Linked DNA regions of Saccharomyces cerevisiae S288C. The gene in region 2 interacts genetically with the main gene of each other region. Each region holds a gene or a part of one and is shown on either strand. Other genes may lie near its edges.

Evidence for each region. Genes that interact genetically often act in the same process or in processes that back each other up.
Region 1: of IST1 (region 2) and VTA1, changing one enhances a phenotype caused by changing the other (phenotypic enhancement), as found in Saccharomyces cerevisiae (6 studies listed by BioGRID, with this or other methods).

What each region holds. Positions count from the first base shown.
Region 1 is NC_001144.5:515,246-520,269, forward strand, and holds VTA1 (Vta1p), read right to left. Parts: upstream 2,426-5,024; coding exon 1,433-2,425; downstream 1-1,432. Other genes in the region: methionine adenosyltransferase SAM1, read left to right, coding at 17-1,165; transcriptional regulator SWI6, read left to right, coding at 2,695-5,024. UniProt on the Saccharomyces cerevisiae protein: Has a role in the formation of the multivesicular body (MVB). Required for the sorting of lipids to form intralumenal vesicles and for fluid-phase transport to the vacuole. Required for sorting the plasma membrane proteins STE2 and STE3 into the MVB.
Region 2 is NC_001146.8:143,780-147,098, forward strand, and holds IST1 (Ist1p), read right to left. Parts: upstream 1,503-3,319; coding exon 1,476-1,502; intron 1,371-1,475; coding exon 501-1,370; downstream 1-500. Other genes in the region: PIK1 (1-phosphatidylinositol 4-kinase), read left to right, coding at 1-299; PDR17 (phosphatidylinositol transporter), read right to left, coding at 1,784-2,836; protein transporter YIF1, read right to left, coding at 3,117-3,319. UniProt on the Saccharomyces cerevisiae protein: Involved in a late step in sorting of cargo proteins of the multivesicular body (MVB) for incorporation into intralumenal vesicles. The lumenal sequestrated membrane proteins are targeted into the vacuole after fusion of the endosome with the vacuole.

The sequences.
Region 1 (5,024 bases), on a different chromosome or scaffold from region 2:
TAAGATAAACGAAAATATGGCCGGTACATTTTTATTCACTTCTGAATCCGTTGGTGAAGGTCACCCAGATAAGATCTGTGACCAAGTTTCCGACGCCATCTTGGACGCTTGTTTAGCCGAGGACCCTCACTCCAAAGTTGCGTGTGAAACCGCGGCAAAGACTGGTATGATTATGGTCTTTGGTGAAATTACTACCAAGGCACAGTTGGATTACCAAAAAATCGTCAGAGACACCATCAAGAAGATTGGTTACGATGATTCCGCCAAGGGTTTCGACTATAAGACCTGTAACGTCCTTGTCGCCATTGAGCAACAATCTCCAGATATCGCCCAAGGTGTCCACGAGGAGAAGGATTTGGAAGACATCGGTGCCGGTGACCAAGGTATCATGTTTGGTTACGCCACAGATGAAACTCCAGAGGGTTTGCCTTTGACTATTCTTTTGGCTCATAAACTAAACATGGCCATGGCTGACGCGAGAAGAGATGGCTCTTTAGCGTGGTTGAGACCAGACACCAAGACTCAAGTCACCGTCGAATACAAGGATGACCACGGTAGATGGGTTCCACAAAGAATCGACACCGTCGTCGTCTCCGCTCAACATGCTGACGAAATCACGACCGAGGACTTAAGAGCGCAACTAAAGTCCGAGATCATTGAAAAAGTCATCCCAAGAGACATGTTGGACGAAAACACCAAATACTTTATCCAACCTTCCGGTAGATTCGTCATCGGTGGTCCTCAAGGTGACGCTGGTTTGACCGGTAGAAAGATCATCGTCGACGCTTACGGTGGTGCCTCATCCGTCGGTGGTGGTGCCTTCTCCGGTAAGGACTACTCTAAGGTTGATCGTTCTGCCGCTTATGCCGCTAGATGGGTTGCCAAGTCCCTAGTTGCCGCTGGTTTATGTAAGAGAGTTCAAGTTCAATTTTCTTATGCCATCGGTATTGCGGAACCATTGTCCTTGCACGTTGACACCTATGGTACTGCGACCAAGTCTGACGAAGAAATTATCGACATTATCAGCAAGAACTTTGACTTGAGACCTGGTGTATTGGTCAAGGAGTTGGACTTAGCTAGACCAATCTACTTGCCAACCGCTTCTTATGGCCATTTCACAAACCAAGAATACCCATGGGAAAAGCCTAAGACTTTGAAGTTCTAAGCTTTTTTCCTTTTGGACTTTTTTCTGCCTTCAACCTCCCATGTTTTCATTTGCTCAACACAAGTCAACATGTACATTATACCGTATTTGATGCAGGGACGCAATACCATCATATTCTTGATATAGACTCATTTTTCTCAAATCAAATTTGTATCGATTTCATTTTGCATTATACAGGATTCCTTTTCCTTTCTAACATTTAATACGTAACTACTAATATTAATATATACCTCCTTCAACGGATCAACAAACCAAACTTTATCTTATTCAAATAGAATTTAACAGATCCAACGCCTTAGTTAACTCATCTTTGGCGGTGGGCAGGTCTTCATAATTCAATGCGCTTATGGCGTATTTGGCAAGTTTTTGAATTTGCTCTATTTTACTGGCCCTGTCCATAATTTTTGTCAACTCATCCTTTGTATACGATTTATGCTCTGCTGCAGCAGGTTCTGATGGTGCAGAAGGGCGCGTAAGATCCACTTCTTTCTTCACAACTTGTTGTTCGTCTTTTGTTATTGCATCTTCGTTCTTGTCGACGGTCTGTTCTTCTTCGTTTACGCTATCGGCATCATCAATAAATTCAGGTACCTCATCCACAGGCTCGTATGATGTTGTTTGGTCTTTTGGGGCTAGGCCTTCGACTTTATCATTATTATTGTTTTCCAAATCGCTTGTCTGGTGATCAACATCTTCATCCTTAATCTCCTCGCTATCATCCGCAAAATCTGCATAATCTAACGTTTTCTCGTCGCTGGAACCAATTTCACCCTTTGCCAATTTACTCAAATAAATTTTGCAATACTTAATTCGTTTTTGTAATGAATTTGTACTCGTTTCACTTATATTTTCCTTCCACAGGTGTAAAATGCATGAAAATAAATCAATACAACACCAAAGTGATCTTTTTAACATAACATCCCAGGGACCATCTTTTAGCTGTTTCAGTTTCTCGTTATACAACGACATTGTAAAATTTAGCATATAAATTTTGGCTTTTTCTTGATCATGTATTAGCGTGTTCATAACGTGTAAGCTTTTGTCACTGTCTTCTGCTTCACTCTCGCCGCCAATCTCCTTCTTAAACGCTTCAATAGTATCAAGAAGTTCTGTCGCTAGTGCGGTCATCTCTTGCGACCGATCTTCTTCACTCAGTATCAATTCCACCGCATATAACTGAAGATAGTATCCGATGATCCCTAACCCAACTTTGTCAAAATCCTTCGCTGTAGCGACAACCCTTGCAGCGTTACTAGCCATAGAATTTATTTAAAATGTGGACAATTAGTTTCTAAAAATTGAATCAAATAAAATAAGAAAGCTTATTGTTCCTTTTTTTGTCTTCATCTGGACCGTTTGGATAAGATCATTCACCAAATCTTAGTTTTTTTTTTTAGTTTCCTTCTCCAACGATTTCATAATAATAAAAAAAAACAACAAAAAACACGATTGAGAAACATCAATATGAACTAAGCAATAGCTAAAAAAAAAAGAATAATAAAGGGGAACACAGTATAATTCTCGAGAGGATGGCGTTGGAAGAAGTGGTACGATACTTAGGACCTCACAATGAGATCCCTTTGACACTCACTAGAGACTCGGAGACTGGCCATTTCCTCCTGAAACATTTTCTGCCCATTTTGCAGCAATATCATGACACGGGGAATATTAACGAGACCAACCCCGATAGTTTCCCCACTGATGAGGAAAGAAATAAATTACTGGCACATTATGGAATTGCTGTAAATACAGACGACCGAGGTGAGTTATGGATAGAGCTGGAAAAATGTTTACAATTATTAAACATGCTAAATTTATTCGGTTTGTTCCAGGATGCATTCGAATTTGAGGAGCCTGAAACAGATCAGGATGAAGAAGATCCCAGCCATTCGAAACTACCAGAAAACAAGACCAAAAGTGAAAATTCTAAGGATAATATCAGCTCAAAGAGGATTAATAATTTACAAGATATGAGCCTGGATTCTGATGCACACAGAGAATTAGGCTCTCCTTTAAAAAAACTAAAAATAGATACCTCTGTAATAGATGCTGAGAGTGACTCCACTCCGAATACTGCCAGAGGCAAGCCTAACGATGATATTAATAAGGGCCCTAGCGGCGACAATGAAAATAATGGCACTGATGACAATGACAGAACCGCTGGACCTATCATAACATTCACTCATGACCTAACTTCTGACTTTTTAAGCAGTCCACTGAAAATCATGAAAGCACTACCTTCTCCAGTTGTAAATGATAATGAACAGAAGATGAAACTAGAGGCATTCTTACAACGGTTGTTATTTCCAGAAATTCAAGAAATGCCTACATCCCTTAATAATGACAGCAGTAATAGAAATTCAGAAGGGGGGAGCTCAAACCAACAACAACAGCACGTATCATTTGATAGCCTTTTGCAAGAGGTAAACGACGCTTTTCCTAATACTCAATTAAATCTTAATATTCCTGTAGATGAGCATGGAAACACACCATTACATTGGCTGACTTCAATAGCAAACCTGGAATTAGTGAAACACCTGGTTAAGCATGGTTCAAACAGATTATATGGTGATAATATGGGGGAGTCATGCCTAGTGAAAGCTGTCAAATCAGTAAATAATTACGACTCTGGTACTTTTGAGGCACTTCTAGATTATTTATATCCATGTTTAATTTTGGAAGACTCAATGAATAGAACAATTTTGCACCATATCATTATTACGTCTGGTATGACTGGCTGTTCAGCAGCTGCGAAATATTATTTAGATATTTTAATGGGATGGATTGTCAAGAAACAAAATAGACCCATTCAAAGTGGTACTAACGAAAAAGAAAGCAAACCGAATGACAAAAATGGGGAAAGAAAGGACTCTATACTAGAAAATTTGGACCTGAAATGGATAATAGCAAACATGCTCAATGCGCAGGACTCTAATGGCGATACTTGCTTGAACATTGCAGCAAGATTGGGAAACATTTCAATAGTAGACGCTTTATTAGATTACGGTGCTGACCCATTTATTGCAAACAAATCAGGGTTGAGACCCGTGGATTTTGGGGCAGGTACTTCAAAATTACAAAATACGAACGGCGGTGACGAAAACTCGAAGATGGTCTCTAAGGGTGATTACGACGGTCAAAAAAATGGAAAGGCCAAAAAAATAAGGTCTCAACTGTTGAAAAACCCACCTGAAACAACTTCGTTAATTAATGATGTCCAAAATTTACTGAATTCAATCTCGAAAGATTATGAGAATGAAACAGTGCAATATAATGAGAAATTAGAAAAACTACACAAGGAATTGAACGAACAGCGAGAAGAATTAGCTAATTCTAGAGAACAACTAGCAAATGTGAAGCAATTGAAAGATGAATACTCACTAATGCAAGAGCAATTGACCAATTTAAAAGCAGGAATTGAAGAAGAAGAGGAAAGTTTTAGGGAAGAGAGCAAAAAGCTAGGAATAATTGCAGATGAAAGTTCAGGTATTGATTGGGACTCTAGCGAATATGATGCAGATGAACCCTTCAAAGTAGAGTTCCTTTCAGATTTCTTGGAGGATAAATTACAAAAGAATTATGAAGGCGATATTTCCAAACTATTAGAAGCGGAGTCGAAAGAGCAGATAATGGAACAGATACGAAATCAACTTCCCGCAGAAAAAATCCAATCGATGCTTCCACCAACGGTCTTATTGAAGGCAAGAATAAATGCATACAAGCGGAATGATAAACACCTAACCAATGTATTGGATACAATCAGCACCAAACAATCAGAATTAGAGAATAAATTTAGAAGAGTGTTATCTTTATGTTTGAAAATCGACGAAAATAAAGTTGACAATATGCTTGATGGTTT
Region 2 (3,319 bases):
TAGAGGGAGAAGCGTTTAAAAAGTTTGTTGAACTAACTAAAAGTTCGTTCAAGGCTCTGAGAAAGTATGCTGATCAAATCGTATCAATGTGTGAGATTATGCAAAAGGACAATATGCAGCCTTGTTTCGATGCTGGCGAACAAACAAGTGTACAACTACGACAAAGGTTCCAATTGGACTTATCAGAAAAAGAAGTTGATGACTTCGTAGAAAATTTCTTGATAGGTAAATCTTTGGGTAGTATTTACACCAGAATATACGACCAATTTCAACTTATTACACAGGGTATATATAGCTGAGAAGGAAAATAGCTGTGACAGAACTGGAAAAACAATTTGCAAATGTCCGGAGAACAAAAAAATTGGAATTTTAGTAAAAGGAATATACATATATTTATTTATTGCCGAGAATAATAGAGCAGCTGACTCAGAAAAAGCAAGGTAAAAGAATGAGAGTAAAATAAATATGTGGTTAATTAACCATACATATAAATTATTATCTTATTTTCTGCGTAAAGCGTCAAACCGTTTCTTCAACTCATCTAGTTCATCATTTTCTTGCTCCTTCTTAGTCTTTCTTTTTGTAGTTTTCTTTTCTGATTGTTTCTTTTCGATCACTTCCTTTTTGATATCTTTCGGAATCTTGAGCTCGTTCTTGATATTTTCACTATTCTGCCTAGGCTTTTTAACAGTGATAGGGTGTTTAGCATCTGCATTGTCATTATCGTCATTATCTAAGGCTAAAATAGGCTTTTCTTCGTCATTATCCTCGATATCTCCCGAGGGGTCACTAAAGTCTGAAGAAATGTTAGAAGACGACGAAGATAAGGAATTCTCCAGCTTACTATATGGCACATCGTATGTTTTCGCGATTTCCTTCAAATAAAGATCAACTAGTTCTTCTTTTGGAACTGAGGGAGAGCATTTTTTTATAATCTTTTCAGGGACATCGATATGATCTGCTATTACTCCATTAACAAACTCAACGTTTATTTTCCAGGCCATCAAATCTTTCAATTGGCTAAGTTCTTTGACTTCATCAACGAAAAGAATCGCATAGATTAGGGATCTGATAGCTTCGTTAATACCATCATCCATATGCTCTTTGACAAGCTGTTCCTCGGTGGAGATATCGTTTATTACCTGCACTCTAGCCAGTAGTAATTCACAATATAGTTCCAATATCTCTAGTAGCTCAATATGAATATCGTCATGAATTAGCGTCTCCACACGATAATGCGCCTTCTGTTCTTTATTTGTCAGTAACAGTTGTGCAACCTGTCTTCGAGACTGCTTTGCAATCGCCTGTTGCTTTTCTTGAGCATATCTTAACCTTTGAATACACATTTTCAGGCATGTTTTAAGCTTGATCTATAACAATAATTTGGATGATAGTTTTACCCTTCTTCAGTTAGTACATCCTAGATCTTTTGCATACTAAAGCTTTTTAAAAATTACTATAAAATATAAACATACAGTGAACGGAATCATTGACGGAGCCATTTTTAGTTGTCGTATTCTCTTATCTATCTTCTATGTTGACTAGTTCTGATTGATTAGCTGGAACTAATAGTATATATAATTTTCACACCCTTTGGAATTCAGAAGGCGTTTTTTTTTTCATGAAACAAAACAATAGAGTGCGGATAGCCGATTCAGTTGATTCTAAAAGTATATAAAATGCGATAAGCGCATAAGCAGCCATTATAAACGTACATCTGAGTCTAGATATATACGTTTGTGTAGCGGGAAACGTTAAAAAAAAAAATCTTAATTATAGTTTATCAAATGACCATATCAACAGGATATTTTAATTCGTCATGTTGGCCCTTGGTGTCATATTCACTTAATCCGACAATGCCTCCAAACTTTAAAAATCTATCAAAACGTTTCAATCGTAAATCGTCAACTTTCTTAACCATATCTGGCCAATAGACTTCATGTTTATACTTGAAGTCTAACAGACCATTGTATAGAGCATCTAGTTGAGATGGCTCTATGTGGTTTTCAAATGGTTCGTCAAAGATAGCCTTCGCCTTAGTGGCAGGGTCAAGGAACGGATACATCATCTTCAAAAAAGCCCACGCAAACCATGGGATATTGATCAGGACACACTTAGCTAACCTTTCAGGGTAATGATCTTGCATGACGTTCAAACACATCCTAGCAATAGAGATGGGTGGAGCTTTATCAGTGATAATACCAGGTTCTTTATAACTTTTGAAATCTACCAAGACTGTGATCTTTTCTACACCTTGGGGAGCTACAGTTGTCGCAGTTTCCATCATGTAGACTAATTCTTGGACTTGTCTAAAGGAAGATTCTGTGTTTTGACGACCATTTTTCATGTAGTATAGAGGTCTTTTAGCGTTGTCAAAGCCCAAAATAACCTGTTTACCAGTTTCGTTCTCAACGGCAACTTTGTCAGCTGTTAAAGGGTCTTTGTCCTCCTTACCATGTGTAAGTCCAATTTCTCTCCTCCATACCAAGGTTTTGGTGAGACCTTTTATGGCGTTCGCGGTGTTCCATTTATTGGCTCTTAGGTATCTTAGAAAACACTCCCTAGAAAGCCAAAACTTCTCCCAATCACTCAAGGGTCTGTCATTGGCATGTGTCCCATTGTCAAGGTCATTGAGATTTTCTGGTAATTTCAGATCATCATCTTGAAAATGTCGTAAGACAGCTCTATATTTTTCGTTTTGATCTTCGGAGATGGGTTCCAGTAGAGGTGCGTTACCATACTTGGCAGGAGGGTCCAAGAATATCTTATCACATGGAATAAGTTTCTCTTTAGGCACAGCAGGCGTATGGTCCCGTTTTCTTGAAAAAAGACCCATTTTTGTTCTTCTTCTTGTGCTTTCTTTGTGTGATTTTTCAGGGTCTTTTTTTTTAAACAATGATGTAAATTAAATCTATCTAAAAAGCGTGATTTTTCCCACGAATTTTAATCCCTCTATTGTTCTCTTTCCACTCCATATTGAGTGAAAGGAAAAATAAGAAAAGTAAATAGAAAATTTATGACGTAGGAATAAAAGTATATAAGTATTTAACAAATTGACCGTAGATAATAATAATGCGCATGAAATTAAATCCTCTCTTTGATCTCTTCAATCAAGATCAACCCATTAACCACATTAGAACATTTTGCCAAATGAAGCCATAGACGAATAGGAAGTAATTGCACTTCTTGACGGTCGATTTGCTGATGGAAACGTGTATATCATCGTCTTCAGCACCGGAGCGGCTTAGTAAATTGAACTTGACGGATCTTAGTAGGAATACGCCAAAGGCAATAAATAAGTAAAATTTTATCAAAATAT